Anolis sagrei: one gene and its partners. The protein of the gene in region 3 interacts with the protein of the main gene of each other region in a biochemical or structural test. Links are inferred from orthologs where the notes say so. Each region holds a gene or a part of one and is shown on either strand. Other genes may lie near its edges.

What was found.
Region 1: of the proteins of TRIM25 (region 3) and RIGI, one has a biochemical effect on the other in vitro, tested with the Homo sapiens proteins (5 studies listed by BioGRID, with this or other methods). The link is inferred for Anolis sagrei from reciprocal best matches to the Homo sapiens genes TRIM25 and RIGI.
Region 2: of the proteins of TRIM25 (region 3) and protein mono-ADP-ribosyltransferase PARP12-like, one has a biochemical effect on the other in vitro, tested with the Homo sapiens proteins (2 studies listed by BioGRID). The link is inferred for Anolis sagrei from reciprocal best matches to the Homo sapiens genes TRIM25 and ZC3HAV1.

The regions. Positions count from the first base shown.
Region 1 is NC_090022.1:205,270,175-205,278,179, forward strand, and holds the start of RIGI (antiviral innate immune response receptor RIG-I), read right to left. Parts: upstream 3,052-8,005; 5' UTR 2,902-3,051; coding exon 2,796-2,901; exon of another isoform or gene 2,755-2,795; intron 1-2,754.
Region 2 is NC_090025.1:101,486,877-101,494,364, forward strand, and holds the start of protein mono-ADP-ribosyltransferase PARP12-like, read right to left. Parts: upstream 3,056-7,488; 5' UTR 2,990-3,055; coding exon 2,694-2,989; intron 1-2,693.
Region 3 is NC_090022.1:144,128,756-144,136,301, forward strand, and holds the start of TRIM25 (E3 ubiquitin/ISG15 ligase TRIM25), read right to left. Parts: upstream 3,091-7,546; 5' UTR 2,987-3,090; coding exon 2,369-2,986; intron 1-2,368.

The DNA of each region.
Region 1 (8,005 bases), about 61 Mb from region 3:
AGGCATTACAGACTAACCCTCGGTCCCATCTTCAGGTCACTTCTGATGAGGTGAAAATATCTCCTGACATGAAACAATCAGGGCCAACTAACACCTTCCAACAAAGGATTTTCCCAGGCAAGAAGCAGCCATTCAACACTAATCAAGGTGGCCCATTGCAACATTCACACTTGCCTCAAGCAGACAAGAGTTCTTTCTCCCACCCTGGACATGCCACAGATATATAAACCTTAGTTGCCTGGTTTCCAACAGACCTCCCAACCTCTGAGAATGCCTGCCATAGATGTGGGCAAAATGTCAGGAGAGATTTCTTCTGAAACAAGGCCATGCAGCCTGGAAAACTCACAGAAACCCATTTCTATTCCCAGTTTTTGACAAATGGTGTTAGCATTTTGCAGAAGTTACAATCTGCTGGCTGCATGTGGGGTGGAGAAGGGATGGTAATTCAGTCACAGCATATTCAATGGCACTTACATCCAAGTAAGTATCACACTTGCTCCCCCTAAATATACACAAATTGATTTACTTTTTGAACCTAGAGATTCCTAGAGAGAACAATTTCAATGAAATCTGTGAATAATCATCAAATTCACAGATATGAAACCCACAAATGTGAAGAGACAACTATAACACTATGTAACAAAATTTAGAAAAACATCTGTTCCTGGTTTGAAAGTGCCACACATGTATGCACATACATCCACATATATACACATACATAAACATATACATACATATGTACCCAGGCATGTAGCCGGGGGGGGGGGCTTGAGGGGCTTCAGCTCCTCCCCCCCCCCCCCCAATTCTCATGGTGGTTCGCGAAAAGGCCTTACTGGTGCATTATTTAAACTGTTATGTTTATTCATATCATGATCTGATCACCATGCTCAATATATCCCATATGCATGGGGGTATTGGGGTAATAATACAAAAGGTTTGCTAGGCTAGACCCTCTTTCACTCAGACTCAGCCCCCCCCCCGAAACTCAGCCCCCCCCGAACCCCCCCCTGAAAAAAATTCAGCCCCCCCCCCCCTGAAACGAAATCCTGGCTATGGGCCTGTATGTACCCATACATATATATACACATATATGCAAAAATGTATACACAACATGATCACATGGTCTTCAGTTCCTCCCACAACCACAATCAACATAGTTAAACAGCACACATATACAGATGGACACATGCACACACACATGTACATACATATAGGGCACACATATACACAAAAACATGCACATACATACATAAATATACATACATATATGCCCATACATATATACACATATATGAAAAACGTATACACAGCATGATCACATGGTCTTCAATCCCTACCACAACTTCAATCAACATACACGTATACAGATGAACACATGGACACACACATGTACATACATAGAGGGCGCATGTAGGTACAAACATATACACATACATTCACACATATACATACATATATACCCATACATAGGTAAAAGGTAAAGGCTGTCTCCTGACATTAAGTCCAGTCGTGTCCAACTCTGGGGGTTGGTGCTCATCTCCAGGCCTGTAGCGAGGGGGGGGGTTAGGGGTTCAACCCCCCCCCCCCCCAAATGTTTCAGATTTTTTAAAAAACCTGGTTTACTCATGAATTTTAACTGGTTAACCAAATCCCCATGCTAAGTCTATGAGATGCAAAAAATTAAGAGTCCTTCCAGAACTGCAAGCACTATCTCTTACTTACTTACTTAGGCGATCCCTCGTTGGACGAGTAAGATGGTCTTCCATTATGGATTTCCTTGTGGGTCCGTATGTGGCTGTGGAGCCCTATTCTTGCTCTGCATCTTCTTCCGCAGTGAGGGCATTGGTTTCCAGGTGGAAGGCGTTCCCGGTCGGGGTTGGCTTGACGCGCCTTCCTCCTGGCACGTTTCTCTCTTTCACCCTCCACTCGTGCCTCCTCGAATTCTGCAGCACTGCTGGTCACAGCTGTCCTCCAGCTGGAGCGCTCAAGGGCCAGGGCTTCCCAGTTCTCAGTGTCTATGCCAGAGTTTTTAAGGTTGGCTTTCAGCCCATCTTTAAATCTCTTTTCCTGTCCACCAACGTTCCGTTTTCCGTTCTTAAAGCACTATCTCAGGCAAATATTGACAATTTATTCACACTGTCATTACTTGCAGCAATAGCCGATGTAGCGAAGCAACCAAGTTGGGTGTGTGTGTGTTGAATGCTCTCATTAAGGAGGCCAGACTTGGTGGAGGTGGTTGACAGGGGCGGAGGGGCAGGCTATTGAAGGCTGCTCTGCCCCCTGCTGTGCTCTTTGCTTCAGCGTGAGCTAGGAGGCAGGTTTCACCCCCCCCCCCCGAAAATTTCAACCCCTCCCGAAAAAATTTTCTGGCTACGGCCCTGCTCATCTCCATTTCTAAGCCAAAGAGCCAGTGTTGTCCATAGACACCTCCAAGGTCATGTGGCCAGCATGACTGCATGGAGCACCATTACCTACCCATACATATATACACATAATGCAAAAATGTATACACAACATGATGACATGGTCTTCAGTCCCTGGGCAGAGTTGCATACTTACACACATCTGTGGACACTTATGTGCACATATATTGATACACATATACATGCATATACATATACATGCAAACATACTCACAAATACATACACACATCCTTCTATATCGATATACCCAGCGATGTGTGTGTGGGGGGGGCGCGCCTATATACACTCCCTTGTGCACACCCATAATAATAAGTAAGTGCAGGCACACACTGGGAGCAGAAGGGAGAGAGGAGGGAGAGGGAGATGCTGACCATCGGAGAGCCAGTCCTTCATGTAGCAGAGGATGTAGACGGGGTTGAGGGTCTTCTGGATGTAATGCCCGAAGCGGAGCAAGTTCTCCTTCTCCTCGGCACTCATGGCGAAGGCGAGGCTCTCTTCCCTGCCTCCCAAGCACTCTTATAGAGGAAGCAAGGCAGGGGGCCCCCAGGCTGGGGGCAAGGGTCCCGGGGCGCAGCCTCCTCCTCCTCCTCCTCCTCCTCCGCCGGCTTCCCTTTCCCTCTCCAGAAGCCGACCGGCTGGGAAGAGAGGCGGAGCCCGGGCTGGAAACGAAACCCAAGGCAGAGAAACCGAAAGCAGGCGGAGAGTCGAGGAGGAAAAGGTTTGGCAGCACTTCAACTGCTAGATCTATCTCCAGGCCGGGGAATCCCGGGAGTTGCACTTTGGGGAGCCCTCTGGACCAAGCGAAAGCCTGTGCAAAACTTGGGTGCCCACGGACTCAGAGTAGCCAGCTATGCAATTCAAGCAGAATCAAGTTGCATTCATTCTACAGCAGCGTTTCTCAACCGAGGGGTCGCAAGGAGAGTGTCAGGGGGATCGCCAAAGACCATCAGAAAAAAACGTTTTTTTCTGTTGGTCATAGGGATTCGGTGTGGGAAGTTTGGCCCAATTCGATCGTAGGTGGAGTTCAGAATACTCTTTGTCGGTAGGTGAACCAGACAAACTACAACTCCCAAATGTCAAGGTCTATTTTCCCCAAACTCCACCAGTGTTGGCTTTTCGGCATATTGAGTATTTCTGCCAAGTTTGGTCCAGATCCAGGCATGTAGCGGGGGGGAGGGGGGGGAGCTTGAGGGGCTTAAACCCCCCCCCCCCGAAATTCTCATGGCGGTTCGCGAAAAGGCCTTACTGGTGCATTATTTAAACTGTTACGTTATTCATATCATGATCTGATCACCATACTCAATATATCCCATATGCATGGGGGTACTGGGGCAATGATACAAAAGGTTTGCTAGGGTAGACCCACTTTCACTCAGACTCAGCCCCCCCCCCCGAAACTCAGCCCCCCCGAACCCCCCCTGAAAAAAACTCAGCCCCCCCCCCCCCCCCCCCCCCGAATCGAAATCCTGGCTACGGGCCTGTCCAGATCCATCATTGTTTCATTCCACAGTGCTCTCTGGATGTAGGTGAACTACAACTCCAAAAGCTCAAGGTCAATGCCCACCAAAACCCTTCCAGTATTTTCTGTTGGCCATGACAGTTCTGTGTCCCAAGTTTGTTTCAACTCCATCGTTGGCGGACTTCAGAATGCTCTTTGATTGTAGGTGAACTATCAATCCCAGCAACTACAACTCCCAAATGTCAAGGTCTGTTTTCCCCAAACTCCACTTGTGTTTACATTTGGGCATATTGCGTATCCGTGTGTGTGTGTGTGTGTGTGTGTGTATGTATGTGCGTGTATATATATATATATATATATATATGGCATGGGCCAACTTCGGCCCTCCATGTGTTTTGGACAAAATTTGTCCATGCCCATATCCATTTATATATATATATAATCAGTGTTTGGTTTGGGGAGGGGGCACCAAAATACTGTTTGCTTACCATTGAAAATTACCTACGGCCACCTCTGTATCCCTGCCAAGTTTGGTCCAGATCCATCATTGTTTGTGTCTACAGTGCTCTCTGGATGTAGCTGAACTACAACTCCCAAACTCAAGGTCAATACCCACTAGGCCCTTCCAGTATTTTCTGTTGGTCATGGGAGTTCTCTGTGGGAAGTTTGGCCCAATTCTATCATTGGTAGGGTTCAGAATGCTCTTGGACGGTAGGTGAACCATAAATCCCAGCAACTACAACTCCCAAATGTCAGGGGGCCTCATCACACTACAGTATAAATCCACCTTAAATCTGGTTGTTGCTTTCTGCAGAATTCTGGGGTTTGTAGTTTAGGGAGGAGCCTTTGACAGCCTCACTAAACTACAAACCCCAGAATTCTGCAGGAGGCAGAAGCCGGATTTAATGTGGATTCATTCTCTAGTGTGATGAATTGGTAGGTCTGTTTTTCCCCAAACCTCCACCAGTGTTCACTTTTTGGCATATTAAGTATTCGTGCCAAGTTGGTCCAGATCCATCATTGTTTGAGTCCACAGTGCTCTCTGGATGTAGGTGAACTACAACTCCAAAACTCAAGGTCAATGCCCACCAAACCCTTCCAGTATTTTCTCTTAGTCATGGGAGTTCTGTGTGCCAAGTTTGGTTCAATTCCATTGTTGGTGGAATTCAGAATGCTCTTTGATTGTAGGTGAACTCTAAATCCCAGTAACTACAACTCCCAAATGACAAATCAGTTCCTCCCCCCAACTCCACCAGTATTCAAATTTGGACATATTGGGTATTTGGACCAAATTTGGTCCAGTGAATGAAAATGCATCCGGCATATCAGTTCCTGGGATATAGGGCCTGTTTGGAAGGGCTCTCAGGCACCTTCCACACAGCTGTATAAAATCCACATTGAACTGAATTATATGGCAATGAGGACACCTTCTACATTGCCTCTGGCCCCTTCTACCCTGCCATATAATCCAGATCATCAAAGCATATAATCCACATTATCTGCTTTAAACTGGATTATATGGGGCCTCTTCTACACTACCAGATAAAATCCGGATTATCTGCTATGAACTGGATTATATGGCAGTATTCCAACAATGGTTAAAAACCATAAAAACATATTTAGAACTAAAAACCACAGCGTCCCCTGTGAATAGGACACAGCGTACTCACTCCCAAGGATATGTGTCCAATGTTACAGCCATGTTAAAGTTAATGACTGAGTTGTGTTTGCACACATAGTGCAGAAGGGTGTTTTCTTTCCTTCTGGATTATTGACTGGAGATGCAAGGAGTTTCCTTCTCCTTTTACTGTGCTTGGGCTTGAAGAAATAGAAACTAAGGACACTTTCATTTATCCAAGAGGAAAGTAATTACATAACATTCTCTGGATGCTTGCCACACATATAAATAGATCAGGATTGTAATTCAAACCAGAACTAAGGGGGGGGGAATCATTTTTAGGAGGATTGGGTACACTAAGCAGGAATTTTAAACGGAGGGCCCTTCCACACAGCCATATAACCCAGAATATCAAGGCTGAAAATCCCAACATATCTGCTTTGAACTGGGTTATCTGAGTCACCACTGCCATATATCCCAGTTCAAAGCAGATAATGTAGGATCTTATAGAGTGGATTGGAAAGGACCTCAAACTGGATTAAATTAGGGCACGCCTTCCATACTCTCCCTTTCTAAACTGGGAGGGGTGCATGTAGTAGTTTATTTCCCCACTATTGAGTCGTTACCTTGTTTTTTCCTTCAGTTTATGGCAGCACTATGACTATGAGTGTGTCTACACTGTAGAATGAACACCACTTTATCTGCCATGGCTCAATGCTATGGAATCCTAGGAGTTGTAATTTGGTCAAGCACCAACACTCTTTGACAGAAGAGGCTGAAGACCTTATAAAATGATAACTTCTCTTATTCCACAGCATTGAGACATGGCTGTTAAAATGGTGTTGATGTGCATTCGTTCTACAGTGTAGACATAGGGCCACCATAAGCAGACTTCATTCACCATCTTTTGTAATGGTGTAATGGCCATGAGACACTCGCAGAAGTCACATGGAATCATGTTGGGAAAGTAGGGACTCAGACGAAGCACAGGTGTGCTGTGTTTGCCCAGGAAACTCTATATCAAATTTGAAGAATGGGAAGGTGCATTTTTATGATGGAGCTGCCAATTGCCCGCTGCCTACAGGTCCTGTCATTTGCGTCTCACAGGTTTACAAAGCCAACATAGAACCACTTGGTAGTACTCCTTGTTGATGGTAGTACCATGTGTTACATACTTGTGATGAACCACAACACTGGAGTCAAAGTAGACCGTCAGCATGACTTTTTTTTGGACTTGCCTTTTTCTTTTTGGCTTTGAGGATGTTGGATGCATCCATTGTGATGACTGCAATTTGGTTTCTGGCTCATACCCCTAAACCCAGGACTCATCGCCAGTGATCAGTGTTTATTTCTATTTTATTTTAATTTATGGTTTTTATATTCCGCCCTTCTCACCCCAAAGGGGACTCAGAGTGGTTCACAGAACACATATACAGCAAATATTCAGTGCCGATTATACAATGACAAAACGGACAATAGATAGAGGAGTGTGTGTATGTATATACGCACATGCTTTCCCATCTTTTGGCATCTTTGGAGGCTGTGCTCATTTCCGGCCACAAGGGAGTGCTGTCACTCCATCTCCTTGTTGAAGAGCGTTTCTTTGTTTATAAACTTCCTCTTTTTTCTGATCGAAACACCATGCCTATTGTGACTGAGCTGGAACCACAGAGTGCCTCTGATGGTCAGCTGGAATCACAGAGTATCTCTGATGAGGATGATGGGATTCAAGTTCACAATCTGGTCCAAAATGCCCCTGTTATAGACAATGAGGAACAGGGGATGCAAGTTCAGTTTCCCACAGCAAGAAATGAGATTGTTGATACCGAAACTAGCCAGGTGCAGGTGCAAATTGATTCAGAAAAGGAGGACATTTCTCAGCCTGATAATAAGCAGGAAGGCAAACAGGATAACACTAACGAACAGACTGACCTTGACGAAATGGGAACCTTAGATCATGCTGACCGTTTGGAATTCAGAGTTCGAAGGAGTGTGAGAATAGCTAACAAGAAGGAGGTCAGAGGCCAAAGAAACACCTTTATGTTTTGCAAAGGGTGTTAAGCAGTGTGTTTGGGACCAAACCTTTGTCAGGGCAACTTTTCATTTAACCAAGGAGCTTGTATTTGCTTGTCTAGATTATCTTGCAGTTCTTGTGTTCATGGTCTCAGGATTTAGTCATGTTCTCATGGGATTTTGCTTTGCTGGTGCCTTTTTAAATCATGCTTCAAAGTGCTTTTTGTATTGATCTTTTGGAACATTACTTTTGTTTTTAAGAGCTTTTTATCTTTTACTTTTTAATAAACTATAAAGACTTCTGGCTGTGTGCAGTTTGGTGTTTTCAGCAAGGTGAACCTACTCCGAGGTACAACAGTGTCTAAAATACCTCCCTACTTTAATGCAGTCCCTATTTATCTACTCACATTTGTTTTCTAATTGCTAGATGGCAAAAGCTGGGTAGAAGGTCAGATGGTCACCTTGACCCGGGCTTCAAACTATCAGCCTTC
Region 2 (7,488 bases), on a different chromosome or scaffold from region 3:
ACTCTCTTATACACAAAGGGAGGGAGAGGGATCCTCCCTCCACTCAATTTTCCAGTTCATGTTTTTCTTTTTTTATACCAGGAAGTCAGAAGTTGGTGCCCTGGTGTTTCCAGCTCTCCTTTTAAATTGTTTTCAACGTATTTCCAGCTCTCCTTTTAAATTGTTTTCAAACAATCACAATGGTGATTTCTGAGCATGGCAAACTAATTTACTTCCAATTTGCATAGAATTTATGAAGAATAACAAAGATATATAAAGCGTCCCCATATTGTCTCAAAGACAAGGCTTCTGTTTATTGTGACTCTGTGCCAAATGTAGTTGTAGACACAGGGACAAGCTTCCTGAAAATCTCAAAGTTGTTTCACAGTAGTTTTATAGGTACGAAGAAAGACATTTGCCATGGGATAAAAACATGGAAAGGGATGAACTTTGAGCCCTCCTTCCGCACTCACAACCTCAAGGAAAACCATTATTATGACTATTAGCCACCACTGCCATCACCCATTAATGAATGTCCATATTATCAGGAACCATGTCACTCTCCCTGAGCACGTTAATGCAGCACACAATATGAATGCCAAAACAGGTCTAGTTTTTCAAAGGTCTCCCCTTCTACACCTCAGTTGTTAACTTTCATGTATGAACCAAATCACATAGGATAAGAAGTGGGAAAATTTACTATAGTTTTTCAGTATCTCATAAGGTCTCAATCAATTCAACATAGTTTGTGGCAGCCACAAAAACAAAGTTTCTAGGGTATAACAACTACTTTCAAAGTGAGTACCGTACAATTAAACAGGAAATAACACTTGCAGACCGGGAACAGATTTTTTTCTCTCCAAATTTTGTTACATATTATCATGTCAACTTCCTATGGAATCCTGGGATTTCCCATTTGGAGTCCACAGCAAGAGAGGTTCTCAGATTACACCAAAACCAGAAACGAGACCTATTGCAAGCCTCTAAGCCAGGGGTCCTCAAACATTTTAAACAGGGGGCCAGGTCACAGTGCCTCGAACTGTTGGAGGGCCGGATTATAATTTGAAAAAAGCATGAATGAATTCCTATGCACACTGCACATGTTTTATTTGTAGTGCAAAAAACACTTTAAAACAATGTTATAATTAAAATGAAGAACAATTTTAACAAATATAAACTCAAATATCAATGAGAAGTGTGGGGCTGCTTTTGGCTGATGAGATAGGATTGTTGTTGTTGTGTGCTTTCAAGTCATTTCAGACTTAGGTTGATCCTGAGCGAGGGCCGGGTAAATGATCTTGGAAGGCTGTATCCGGCCCCCAGGCCTTAGTTTGAGGACCCCTGCTCTAAGCCCTTGCTCATCTTAAAACCAGAGGTCTATTTACACATTCATTCCCAACAAAGGCACAAGTATCAGTAAGTGTACAAATTATTTCCTTATTTCTTTATTTTATTTACTTCACTTGTATACCGCTATTCTCAGCCCTTAGGCGACTCATAGCAGTTAACAACAAAATAGCAAAAATTCAATGCAGCATAACAAGGTATTTAAAAACAATTAACAATTAACACAATAGCAGACTAAGCAATTAAACAACAATAAACATTCATTCATTGGCATCTCATAACTAGAATCATGATCCAAACTCGTCGTCCATAGTTCCATTTCCTAAAATTCATTGCACTGCCTATTCAAACGCCTGTTCAAATAACCAGGTTTTCACTTTTCTCCGAAATACCATCAATGAGGGAGCTGATCTAATGTCCATGGGAAGGGCGTTCCACAGCCGAGGGGCCACCACCGAGATACAACAACTATTAGTATTATACAACAACTATTAGTAATAATACAATGGATTTGTTCATTCTGAAACATGGCTTTTCTTTTGAAATACATTCACAAAACCTATAATTTGAGCACAGCTGAAAATTCAAATCCATTACCTAACACACATTCATTTGAGAGTAAATGGGGTCAAATTTCCAAAATTACATTAGTCTTTATTCTTCTGGTTTATCCTATTGGTCCACAACAACAACAACATTATTTAGGTGTAAAGTGAGCTATCTCACTATAGTTGCTGGGTGACGTTTGTCTTTCATGCCTTCTAACTAAACCAGTGATTCCCAAACCTTTTTGACTAGGGATCTCTCTGACCAGGGACCACTCTCCAACATTAGTATCAAAAGGGTTACAAATCAGTTTTTGGTCAATTTTAAATTTGGTTTGGTTATTTGGGGTGCTGATTCAGAAAATTGCATTAGATAGACCACATCAGCTCTAGTTCTGATACAGAACATATGCCATCGAGTAGTTACCATCTGTTCACCCACAGAAAACAATATTTAATAAGCCTCGGTACTATGACAGGGTTTTGCGAGACCAGTCGCTCTTGTTGCAATAGTGTAGTAATGGTGAGGCCACAGACCATATTTTAGTTCTTGCAGAACACCGGTGGTACACAGTTCGCTGGTTGGAAACCACTGAACTAAGCAGTGCCAGTTGAACTTGAGGCTAATGAAGAAAACAGACAGAAACTACATTTGCTTTGACTTTTGTCTCTTTTCTCTCTTGAGAGTTGGCTACCATGTCACAATGTACCAGTCCACTCACATCCATTTTTATCTCTTTCAATGCTATCAAAAGCTGCCTTCCTCATTTCCATCTTTTCTTTTTCTTCTCTCTTTCTTTCTAACCTCACCCCGCAACTCACCATCTGCCACGAGCAGGCCTGAAACATTTCTTCTTGATGTAGTTCTTGCAAATATGAAGACGTTCGCACCCATCACACTCATTCCTCAGACACAGACGCACCGGAGAGATTGCCAGCACCTGAGACGAGGTGCCTTGCTCATTGACCAGAAATCTTTCCTCCCCAGATTGCTCCAAGATCTGCCTTAACTGGTGGTCGGGAAGCCCCAAAACAGGAAGAATCTCCTGATAACTTGAGCTGCCCCCCATGGAGCAAAGGATCTTGGTGATAAAACTACACACAACCGGATCAGTCATGATCAATCTCTGGTCTGTCCACCTGTCTGTTAAAGAGTTGTTTGGTTTCAAGTCAGACCAACCTAGGCTCCACCTATTTTCCCTGCAACTCCGAAGAGAATCGAAACTGAAGACAAGTAACTCCCTGGCAACTTAACTCTGTCATATGAATGCTGGAAACAGAAAGTCAACAAAGGTAGATCATTGATAGCACCACCTGACCTAAAGGGAGGCAAAGGGTGATTTATCAAAAATTCTTGGCGACTGAATTGCATTTTGAGCGAATGTCATCATTCTTGTTTTATTTAGGATTTAGGACTGTTTTATTTAGGATTACAGGGTGGTGGGGCAGTACTGATTTTAACTGTCATGTTTTGGCTTGGCTTTTAAAAAATGTACATTGTATTAGTTTCTGGCCACAAAGTGGAGTCCACAACATGCGGGTGTGGAGAAGAGCAAACCACAGACCACCTATCGCAATGCAGTCTGAGCCCTGCCACGTGCATAATGGAGGACCTTCTTATAGCAACACCAGAGGCACTCCAAGTGGCCAGCTATTAGTCGAAGGACATTTAGTACAAGGCCAAGTTTTTAAAACTTTGTGTTTTTTAAAATATATTACAACTGTACCCTCAGTTCACTTCTGATACGACAAATAAAAAATAAATAAATTGGATTAGTTTGCCCTAGGCCAATCAGCAGGATTAAAATCTGCAAATAAATAATGGCCTTTGTTGTTCATTCGTTCAGTCATCTCCGACTCTTCGTGACCTCATGGACCAGCCCACGCCAGAGCTCCCTGTCAGCCGTCACCACCTCCAGCTCCTTCAAGGTCAGTCCAGTCACTTCAAGGATGCCATCCATCCATCTTGCCTTTGGTCGGCCCCTCTTCCTTTTACCTTCCACTTTCCCCAGCATAATTGTCTTCTCTAGGCTTTGCTGTCTCCTCATGATGTGGCCAAAGTACTTCAGCTTTGTCTCTAGTATCCTTCCCTCCAATGAGCAGTCGGGCTTTATTTCCTGGAGGATGGACTGGTTGGATCTTCTCGCAGTCCAAGGCACTCTCAGAACTAATGGCCTAGTTGACCATTTTCACTCTACAACTATGGAGAGGGGCCCCACTGATGCTCAAAGGATATTCCAGGCATCACCATGCCATGGAGGCTACCTAGTCCTCATATCCAAGCTTGAAAGAGTTACTTCTCAACCATGGAATCTTCAGGAAGCCTCACTCTCTCAGCCTCAAAGGAAGGCAAAGGCAAACCTCCTTTGAAAAAAATTACCATGAAAACCCTATGATTTAATCTCTATACACTGAAAATAACATTTGGAAGACACATAATAACAACCAGACTGTTCTGTTCTTACTTTAAGAACAGAAAAAAATGGTAAGTATAATTTTAGCTGTCATAAAATTATCATTTTTGGTATATTATAATAACAATTTTATTATTATTATCAGACAGTAATTACAAATGGAATTGAATTTTCCTTTTCAAACATTCCTTTTTGTGGCACTACAAGGGGAGGAACTGTGGGGAACCATTTTGGTTTTGCCTATTTATTAACAGCAGGCAGATACCAATAAATTTATTATTATTTTATTTATTTGCTATACTTGTATACCGCCGTTTCTCAGCCTAGCCGGCGACTCAACGCGGTTTACACAACTTATAACAAACAACAGTATACAGTTTAAAAGCATAAAAACACGATCCACAATACATATATCAATAAACCATCCAATTCATCTCTTGACTAAAATCGCGATCCAGTTTCGTCGTCCAAATTGCCAGTCCTTCAATCATTACACTTATTGCACTGAGTTAACCGAACGCCTGCTCGAACATCCAGGTTTTTAGTCTTTTCCGGAAAACCATCAATGAGGGGGCTGATCTTACCTCCATGGGGAGGGCGTTCCATAGCCGCGGGGCCATCACAGAAAAGGCCCTGTCTCTCGTCCCTGCCAGCCGCACCTGTGAAGCAGGCGGGATAGAGAGCAGGGCCCCCCCAGAAGATCTTAGGGTTCTGGTGGGCTGATAGGTTGAGATACGTTCGGATAGGTAAGTTGGGCCAGAACCGTTTAGGGCTTTAAAGGCCAGCGCCAGCACTTTGAATTGAGCCCGGTAGCAGATCGGCAGCCAGTGGAGCTGGTGCAGCAGAGGAGTTGTATGCTCCCTGTGCTCCGCTCCAGTTAGTATCATGGCTGCCGAGCGTTGGACTAATTGGAGCTTCCGGGCCGTCTTCAAAGGCAACCCCACGTAGAGAGCATTGCAGTAGTCTAAACGGGATGTAACCAGAGCGTGGACTACCGTGGCCAAGTCAGACTTCCCAAGGTACGGGCGCAGTTGGCGCACGAGTTTTAACTGTGCGAATGCTCCCCTGGTCACCGCTGAAACCTGGGGTTCCAGGCTCAACGATGAGTCCAGGATCACACCCAAACTGCGAACCTGTGTCTTCAGGGGGAGTGCGACCCCATCCAACACAGGCTGTAACCCTATACCCTGTTCGGCCTTACGACTGACCAGGAGTACCTCTGTCTTGTCTGGATTCAATTTCAATTTGTTCGCCCCCATCCAGACTGTACATCCACTCTTTGCAGATACTTTTGGGTGAAGAACACAACAGAAAGCCTTCAAATAGATACTTCCAAAGTGTACCTGCCATGGCTCAATGCCATGGGATTCTGGGAGTTGTACTTTTATCATGATCTTTAGTCTTCTCTGCCAAAGAGTGCTGGTGCCTCACTAAAAAACAAATCCCAGGGTTTTATAGCACTGAGCCATGATGGTTAAAGTGGTGTCAAATACATTAATGCTAAAGTGTAGGTGTACCCTAGGGAATCTCACGGGGAAAATAGGAAATCAGAAACTCCCTCTTGTTTCCGAACAAATGTAATCATGGATCTAAAAAAGACAGTACCTTCCAAAAATTAAGGAACCAGTGTGATTTGCACATTTGACTCCACATTCAGCCATAGAAACCCATTGGGAGACCTTAGGGGAGTTACACACTCTCAGCCTCAGAAATCCCTGTGATAGGGTCATCATAGGATGTTCATATGTTGGGAACAATTGAAAGAACACAGCAACAACAACAGAAATTAACAATATATAAACAGAAATTCTTCCTTATGTTGCTCAAATAACAAGCATAAGGCAGAACTGAAACCACAACTTCTGTTTATTCAAAAACTCATGTGATATTAAAGCCAAAGAGACGAGTCATCAGCAGAAGCACTGAAAGGTTGTTGACAATGTACACACAAATTCACTGATACACCCTAGCCACACTCAGCGCTATCACACTGTTAAATATTTATTGTTAAATTTTGTTGTTGTTCATTTCCTTCAACTGTCAAAAATCAAAACATCCTTTGAAGTTACATCTACCTTGCTTACATCAGACCTTTGTATCGGTATCAGTTCTATTTTAATGGACTGTTAGACCCGTCGCAAACTAGCCTCCTGCGGGAGCAAACTGTGCCAGCACGTCCCTGACGTCGTGAGACTGCGCCTCTCTCTCCGCCCCTTTCTCCGCCTCTTTCTCCATGCCAGAGTGGTTTTTCCTTCGCTAGGGCAGCATTGCCAGCGTACTCTCGTTGTTGAATTAGGCCCGTCGCAAACTCTGTTCCTGCGAGAGAAACCTTGCTAGCAAGTCCCTGACGTCACGAGACTCCGCCTCTCTCCCCGCCCCTTTCTCTGCCCCTTTCTCCATGCGAGCGTGGTTTTTCCTCTGCTAGGGCAGCATTGCCCGCATTTTCTCTCAGTTGGCAGAATTCAACTGAGAGAAAATGCGGGCAATGCTGCCCTAGCAAAGGAAAAACCACGCTCGCAAAGAGAAAGGGGCGGAGAAAGGGGCGGGGAGAGAGGCGCAGGCTCGTGACGTCAGGGACTTGCTAGCAAGGTTTCTCTCGCAGGAACAGAGTTTGCGACGGGCCTTATGTCAACAACAAGAGTACGCTGGCAATGCTGCCCTAGCAAAGGAAAAACCACGCTCGCAAAGAGAAAGGGGCGGAGAAAGGGGCGGGGAGAGAGGCGCAGGCTCGTGACGTCAGGGACTTGCTAGCAAGGTTTCTCTCGCAGGAAAAGAGTTTGCGACGGGCCTTATGTCAACAACAAGAGTACGCTGGCAATGCTGCCCTAGCAAAGGAAAAACCACTCTGGCACAGAGAAAGGGGCGGAGAGAGAGGCGCAGTCTCATGACGTCAGGGACGTGCTGGCACAGTTTGCTCCCGCAGGAGGCTAGTTTGCGGCAGCTCTAATGGAAAAAGCCCTTTCTGTAACTTTAAAGAAGACTCATACACAAGATAAAGGCAATAGTAACACACACACACACACAGTAGAAATCTTCCCAAGAACACTCTAAGCCTGACTTTTAGGCTCACAGCAAGTTCCATTATTTTTCAGTAGGCAGATTTAGGACATGCTTTAGTTTGTACTTGAAATTCTGGGATCCAAGGAATCTTGAACCAGCACAGTCAGTCCAACCATGAGTATGCCAGCTGGAGGACTGTGAAA
Region 3 (7,546 bases):
TTTCCAAGTTGGGCAACTTGTTTTGCTGTTGTTATGTGCCTTTCGACAGCAAGATCAAACCTGTCCATACTCCAGGAAATAATGCCCAGCTGGGAAGGATATTAGAGGCCAAGATGAAGTACTTTGGCCACATCAAGAGAAGACAGGAAAGCTTAGAGAAGACAATGATGCTGGGGAAAATGGAAGGAAAAAGGAAAAGGGGCCGACCAAGGGCAAGATGGATGGATGGTATCTTTGAAAGGACTGGCTTGACCTTGAAGGAGCTGGGGGTGGTGACAGCAGACAGAAAGAGTTGGAAGCAACTGAAAAAATAAACAACAAAATGTGCTTTCAAGTTGATTGGCAATTCTAAGACAATCACAACATGGGGTGTTCTTGGCAATATTTCTTCAGAAAACGCTTGCCACTGTTTTTCTCCAAGTCTGTGTGGCCTGCCCAAGGTCACCAACTGGGCTTACATGGCCAAACAAGGATTCGAACTCTGGTCTTCCAGAATCCTAGTCCAACACCCAAACCAAAACACTGTGCTGGCTCTTTTCATGGACGTAATTTGTCACCAATAGCTAACAATGATCTGAATGGGTTGCTGTAAGTTTTCTGGGCTGTATGGCCATGTTCCAGAAGCATTTTCTCCTGATGTTTCACCCACATCTATGGCAGGCATCCTCAGAACAAAACATTACAACCTCAAAGGATGCCTGCCATAGGTGTGGGCAAAACATCAGGAGAGAATGCTTCCGGAACATGGCCATACAGCCTGGGAAATTGACAGCAACGCCGTGAATTCAGCTATGAAAACCTTCGACAGCACAATGATTTGATTGCTAGGCTGTAGGATACTAAGGAATGAAAGCCAATGTAGTAGAATGTTGTTTTGCAAGATCTTTAGCTTTCTCTGCCACAGGATGGCTCACCAAACTACAAATCCAAAGATTCAACAGCACTGAGCCCTGGAAGTGGTGTCAAACTGCAATAATTCCACAGTGAAGATGCGCCCTAGGCCTCTGGAAACTACTTAACCATATTGCAAACCATGGGAGAACTTGGATCAATCATATTCTCTCAATCTCTGAGAAAGCCAATGGCAAAGCTTTTCTGAACAAATCCTGCCAACAAAAATCTGCAATAGGGTGGTTATATGCTGCAAATGATATAAAGGCACACAACAACTACACACAAGGATACCAAGGACCAGTCCCAAGACATACTGCTCTGTGGGGCAAAAGACAAGATAAGCAACCCTAGCCACCTTGAGTGGCTGTATCAGGAGAAAGACAAGATAACAATACAGCAAATGAAAATTGAAGAAAAAAATACTTGTTCACCCCATAAAAATCTAATACAATTGTGCAATCTGGGCCTGCAGTTCTTGCAACATGTCTAAGTGGGGCCTTTCACAAAATCTGGGGTGCATCGCTGATTCCCAAACTCTAGTCCTCCAGGTGTTTTGGACTCCCAGAAGCCTCAACAGCTCTGACCAATGATCAGGGAATCCAGGAACTGATGTTCAAAAGACCTGAAGAACGAGTTTAGGAAAGACCGAATTAACACACATTGACACCCCTTGAACTGCCCTGGCTCGAGGCTATGGAAACCTGGGAATTGCAGCTTCCCAAGGCCTTTAGCCCTCTCTGTCAAGAGTGCTGGGGCCTCAACAATCTAGGATTCGACAGCATTGAGCCATCAAAGTTCAAGTAGAGTTACACTACATTCGTTCTACAGTGTAGGCCAAACTTTGCCCCTCCAAAATCAGGCATGGGCAAATTTCAGCCTTTTGGACTTCAGAACACACTACATTCATTCTACAGTGTAGGCCAAACTTTGCTCCTCCAAAATCAGGCATGGGCAAATTTCAGCCCACGGGTGTTTTGGACTTCAGAAATTCCACCCAGTTTATCAGTTGTTAGGAATTATAAGAGTTGGAAGTCCAAAACACCTGGAGGGTTGAAGTTCACCCATGCCTGCTCCAGGTGTTTGTGACTTCAACTCCCAGCATTTAAACTAGAATAAAATTTCAGAATGCAGTTTAACTGCATTGAACTGGATTATTTTATTCTACACTACCATAGAACCCAGTTCAATGCAGTCAATGTGCATTCTGAAACTGGATTTGATGACAGTGTAGACCAGGCACGGGCACACTTGGGCCGTCCAGGTGTTTTGGACTTCAACTCCCACAATTCCTAGCAGCCTCAGGCCCTTTCCTTTTACCCCTCAGCCACTTACGGCTGAGGGGGAAAAGGAAAGGGCCTTAGGCTGCTAGGAATTGTGGGAGTTGAAGTCCAAAACACCTGGACGGCCCAAGTGTGCCCATACCTGTGATAGCTTCTTCATCTCCAAGCTTTGCTGCATGAGGCCACCGCCTCACCTCCTTCTCCTCCTTGGCCTGGGCCAAGGGGACGGTGTCGCAGGCCTTGTGGGTGACCAAGCAGAAGCAGCAGATGCACCTGCCGTGGTCCTGGCAGTGGAACTCGAGGAGCTTGCCGTGGTCGGGGCACTTCCTGCTGTGGAGGTCCCTCACGGGGGGCACCAGGTGGTGGCCCTTGAAGGCCGGGCTCTCCAGGTGAGGCCGGAGGTGCTCCTGGCAGAAGGAGGCCATACAGCTGAGGCAGGTCTGGGCCGCTTGGGCCCCAAAGCAGCTGTCGCAAGGCACAGGACTCTCCTGGGGGAGCTTCTTCTCCGCCGCTTTGGGGCCCGGGTCTTCCTTGAGGGGCTCCTTCCCAAACTGCTCCACCACTCGGCACAGCACTGTGTTCTTCCTCAACTCAGGGCGGCTGTGGAAGTGGGTCCTGCATTGGGGGCAGCTGAAGCCCTCGCCTGAGGCCTTCCCGGGGCCCCAGGTCATTTCCAAGCAGGGCAGGCAGAAGTTGTGCCCGCAGGGGGTGGTCACTGGGCTCTCGAAGAGGCAGAGGCAGATGGAGCAGGTCAGCTCCTCTTCCAGGCCGAAGAGGACCGGCAGAGAGGGCGCCCTGGCCACCTCAGCCATGGCTGGAAGCAGAGTGAAGCGAAAGCAAGCCGAGGAGGCTCTTAAGCACTGCCAGCGGAGAAGCGAAACTCAGGAGGAACCACTTATTGGAAGTCACGTGACGCAGAGAAGCCCAGCCAGAATACACACACACAGCATGAGCAACACCCTCCCCTCTCTCTCCGTTTAGTGACCCACGGAAAGAGAAACGCCCGCTCTTTCTCTTTCTCTTTCCCCCGCTCTCCTTTCCATTCAGGGCTGGGGAGTTAACGCACTTCGACACCACTTTAATAGCTCAAGGCTATGGCGGGCTAGCCTGTGTGTGTGTATATATATATCACATCGCTGTATATCTATATAATACTAGCTTTACCCACCACGCGTTGCTGTGGCCAACCTTCTCTCCCTCTTTCTCTCCTTCTTTCACTCCTTCCTTCATTTCCTTTTCTTCTTTCCTTTCTTCCTTCTCTACCTGTTTACTTCCTTCCTTAGCTTTTTGCTCCCATCCTTCCTTCTCTTTATTTCTTTCCTTCCCTCCCTCTTTCTCTCCTTCTTTCTCTTCTTCCTTTGCTCCGTCTTTCCTCCCTTTCCTTTTTCTTTCCTTCTCTCCTCCTTCTTTCTCTTCCTCTTTCCTTCCTCCTCCCTTTTTATTTTCCTTCCTCTTCCTCTTTCTTCCCTCTCTATCTCTTTCCTTCCTTCCTTCGCTCTTGACTTCCAGACTTCCTTTTCTTTCTTTCTTTTCTTCCCTCCCTTTCTCTTCTTCCTTTGCTTTTTTCCCTCTTCCCCTTCCCAAATTCCCCTTCCTTCCTTCCTTCCTTCCTTTTGACACCTTCCCTTCCCCTTCCCTTTCTTCTTTTTTTCTATCTTTCTTTCATTTCCTCCTTCCTTCCTTTCTCCCTTCTTTCCCATCCTCCTTCTCTCTCTGTATTCTTTCTTTCCTACCTTTCTTCTTTCATATACCTTCTCAACTTCCCTCCCTCCCTCCCTCCCTCCCTCCCTTCCTTCCTTCCTTCCTTTTGACACCTTCCCTTCCCCTTCCCTTTCTTCTTTTTTTCTATCTTTCTTTCATTTCCTCCTTCCTTCCTTTCTCCCTTCTTTCCCATCCTCCTTCTCTCTCTGTATTCTTTCTTTCCTACCTTTCTTCTTTCATATACCTTCTCAACTTCCCTCCCTCCCTCCCTCCCTCCCTCCCTTCCTTCCTTCCTTCCTTCCTTTTGACACCTTCCCTTCCCCTTCCCTTTCTTCTTTTTTTCTATCTTTCTTTCATTTCCTCCTTCCTTCCTTTCTCCCTTCTTTCCCATCCTCCTTCTCTCTCTGTATTCTTTCTTTCCTACCTTTCTTCTTTCATATACCTTCTCAACTTCCCTCCCTCCCTCCCTCCCTCCCTTCCTTCCTTCCTTCCTTTTGACACCTTCCCTTCCCCTTCCCTTTCTTCTTTTTTTCTATCTTTCTTTCATTTCCTCCTTCCTTCCTTTCTCCCTTCTTTCCCATCCTCCTTCTCTCTCTGTATTCTTTCTTTCCTACCTTTCTTCTTTCATATACCTTCTCAACTTCCCTCCCTCCCTCCCTCCCTTCCTTCCTTCCTTCCTTTTGACACCTTCCCTTCCCCTTCCCTTTCTTCTTTTTTTCTATCTTTCTTTCATTTCCTCCTTCCTTCCTTTCTCCCTTCTTTCCCATCCTCCTTCTCTCTCTGTATTCTTTCTTTCCTACCTTTCTTCTTTCATATACCTTCTCAACTTCCCTCCCTCCCTCCCTCCCTCCCTCCCTTCCTTCCTTCCTTCCTTTTGACACCTTCCCTTCCCCTTCCCTTTCTTCTTTTTTTCTATCTTTCTTTCATTTCCTCCTTCCTTCCTTTCTCCCTTCTTTCCCATCCTCCTTCTCTCTCTGTATTCTTTCTTTCCTACCTTTCTTCTTTCATATACCTTCTCAACTTCCCTCCCTCCCTCCCTCCCTCCCTTCCTTCCTTCCTTCCTTCCTTTTGACACCTTCCCTTCCCCTTCCCTTTCTTCTTTTTTTCTATCTTTCTTTCATTTCCTCCTTCCTTCCTTTCTCCCTTCTTTCCCATCCTCCTTCTCTCTCTGTATTCTTTCTTTCCTACCTTTCTTCTTTCATATACCTTCTCAACTTCCCTCCCTCCCTCCCTCCCTCCCTTCCTTCCTTCCTTCCTTTTGACACCTTCCCTTCCCCTTCCCTTTCTTCTTTTTTTCTATCTTTCTTTCATTTCCTCCTTCCTTCCTTTCTCCCTTCTTTCCCATCCTCCTTCTCTCTCTGTATTCTTTCTTTCCTACCTTTCTTCTTTCATATACCTTCTCAACTTCCCTCCCTCCCTCCCTCCCTCCCTCCCTCCCTTCCTTCCTTCCTTCCTTTTGACACCTTCCCTTCCCCTTCCCTTTCTTCTTTTTTTCTATCTTTCTTTCATTTCCTCCTTCCTTCCTTTCTCCCTTCTTTCCCATCCTCCTTCTCTCTCTGTATTCTTTCTTTCCTACCTTTCTTCTTTCATATACCTTCTCAACTTCCCTCCCTCCCTCCCTCCCTCCCTCCCTCCCTTCCTTCCTTCCTTCCTTCCTTTTGACACCTTCCCTTCCCCTTCCCTTTCTTCTTTTTTTCTATCTTTCTTTCATTTCCTCCTTCCTTCCTTTCTCCCTTCTTTCCCATCCTCCTTCTCTCTCTGTATTCTTTCTTTCCTACCTTTCTTCTTTCATATACCTTCTCAACTTCCCTCCCTCCCTCCCTCCCTCCCTCCCTTCCTTCCTTCCTTCCTTCCTTTTGACACCTTCCCTTCCCCTTCCCTTTCTTCTTTTTTCTATCTTTCTTTCATTTCCTCCTTCCTTCCTTTCTCCCTTCTTTCCCATCCTCCTTCTCTCTCTGTATTCTTTCTTTCCTACCTTTCTTCTTTCATATACCTTCTCAACTTCCCTCCCTCCCTCCCTCCCTCCCTCCCTCCCTCCCTTCCTTCCTTCCTTCCTTTTGACACCTTCCCTTCCCCTTCCCTTTCTTCTTTTTTTCTATCTTTCTTTCATTTCCTCCTTCCTTCCTTTCTCCCTTCTTTCCCATCCTCCTTCTCTCTCTGTATTCTTTCTTTCCTACCTTTCTTCTTTCATATACCTTCTCAACTTCCCTCCCTCCCTCCCTCCCTCCCTCCCTCCCTTCCTTCCTTCCTTCCTTCCTTTTGACACCTTCCCTTCCCCTTCCCTTTCTTCTTTTTTTCTATCTTTCTTTCATTTCCTCCTTCCTTCCTTTCTCCCTTCTTTCCCATCCTCCTTCTCTCTCTGTATTCTTTCTTTCCTACCTTTCTTCTTTCATATACCTTCTCAACTTCCCTCCCTCCCTCCCTCCCTCCCTTCCTTCCTTCCTTCCTTTTGACACCTTCCCTTCCCCTTCCCTTTCTTCTTTTTTTCTATCTTTCTTTCATTTCCTCCTTCCTTCCTTTCTCCCTTCTTTCCCATCCTCCTTCTCTCTCTGTATTCTTTCTTTCCTACCTTTCTTCTTTCATATACCTTCTCAACTTCCCTCCCTCCCTCCCTCCCTCCCTTCCTTCCTTCCTTCCTTTTGACACCTTCCCTTCCCCTTCCCTTTCTTCTTTTTTTCTATCTTTCTTTCATTTCCTCCTTCCTTCCTTTCTCCCTTCTTTCCCATCCTCCTTCTCTCTCTGTATTCTTTCTTTCCTACCTTTCTTCTTTCATATACCTTCTCAACTTCCCTCCCTCCCTCCCTCCCTCCCTCCCTCCCTCCCTTCCTTCCTTCCTTCCTTTTGACACCTTCCCTTCCCCTTCCCTTTCTTCTTTTTTTCTATCTTTCTTTCATTTCCTCCTTCCTTCCTTTCTCCCTTCTTTCCCATCCTCCTTCTCTCTCTGTATTCTTTCTTTCCTACCTTTCTTCTTTCATATACCTTCTCAACTTCCCTCCCTCCCTCCCTCCCTCCCTCCCTTCCTTCCTTCCTTCCTTTTGACACCTTCCCTTCCCCTTCCCTTTCTTCTTTTTTTCTATCTTTCTTTCATTTCCTCCTTCCTTCCTTTCTCCCTTCTTTCCCATCCTCCTTCTCTCTCTGTATTCTTTCTTTCCTACCTTTCTTCTTTCATATACCTTCTCAACCTCCCTCCCTCCCTTCCTTCCTTCCTTCCTTCCTTTCTCTGTTCGCGCAGCATCCTGGTCCCCAGCGATGCGTTCTAGAACTACAGTTCCCAGAGTGCATTGCGTGTGTACTTCCTCCCCTGGGCACTGAGCATGCTCAGTTGGTTTTTGTAATTGTGAGTTTGTTGAAATGTTGTTTGGAATTTTGATTCACGTTGTGCATACCTTGTGGGTTGAGGTATGTGCACGGCAAATTTGGTGAGTTTTCGTCGGGGGGTTTCCGCGTTTTGCTGTCCCGTTGAACACCCTTTCCATTTTTATATATATAGATATATAAATGCTCTGTGCATAATGAGTACCTTAAAAACAAAAGAACCAATGAACGAAATCACACCAAATTTGGCAACGAAACATCTCACTACACAAAGAGTGACCATCACTCAAAAAATTATGATTTTGTCATTTGGGAGTTGTAGTTGCTGGGATTTATAGTTCACCTATAATCAAAGA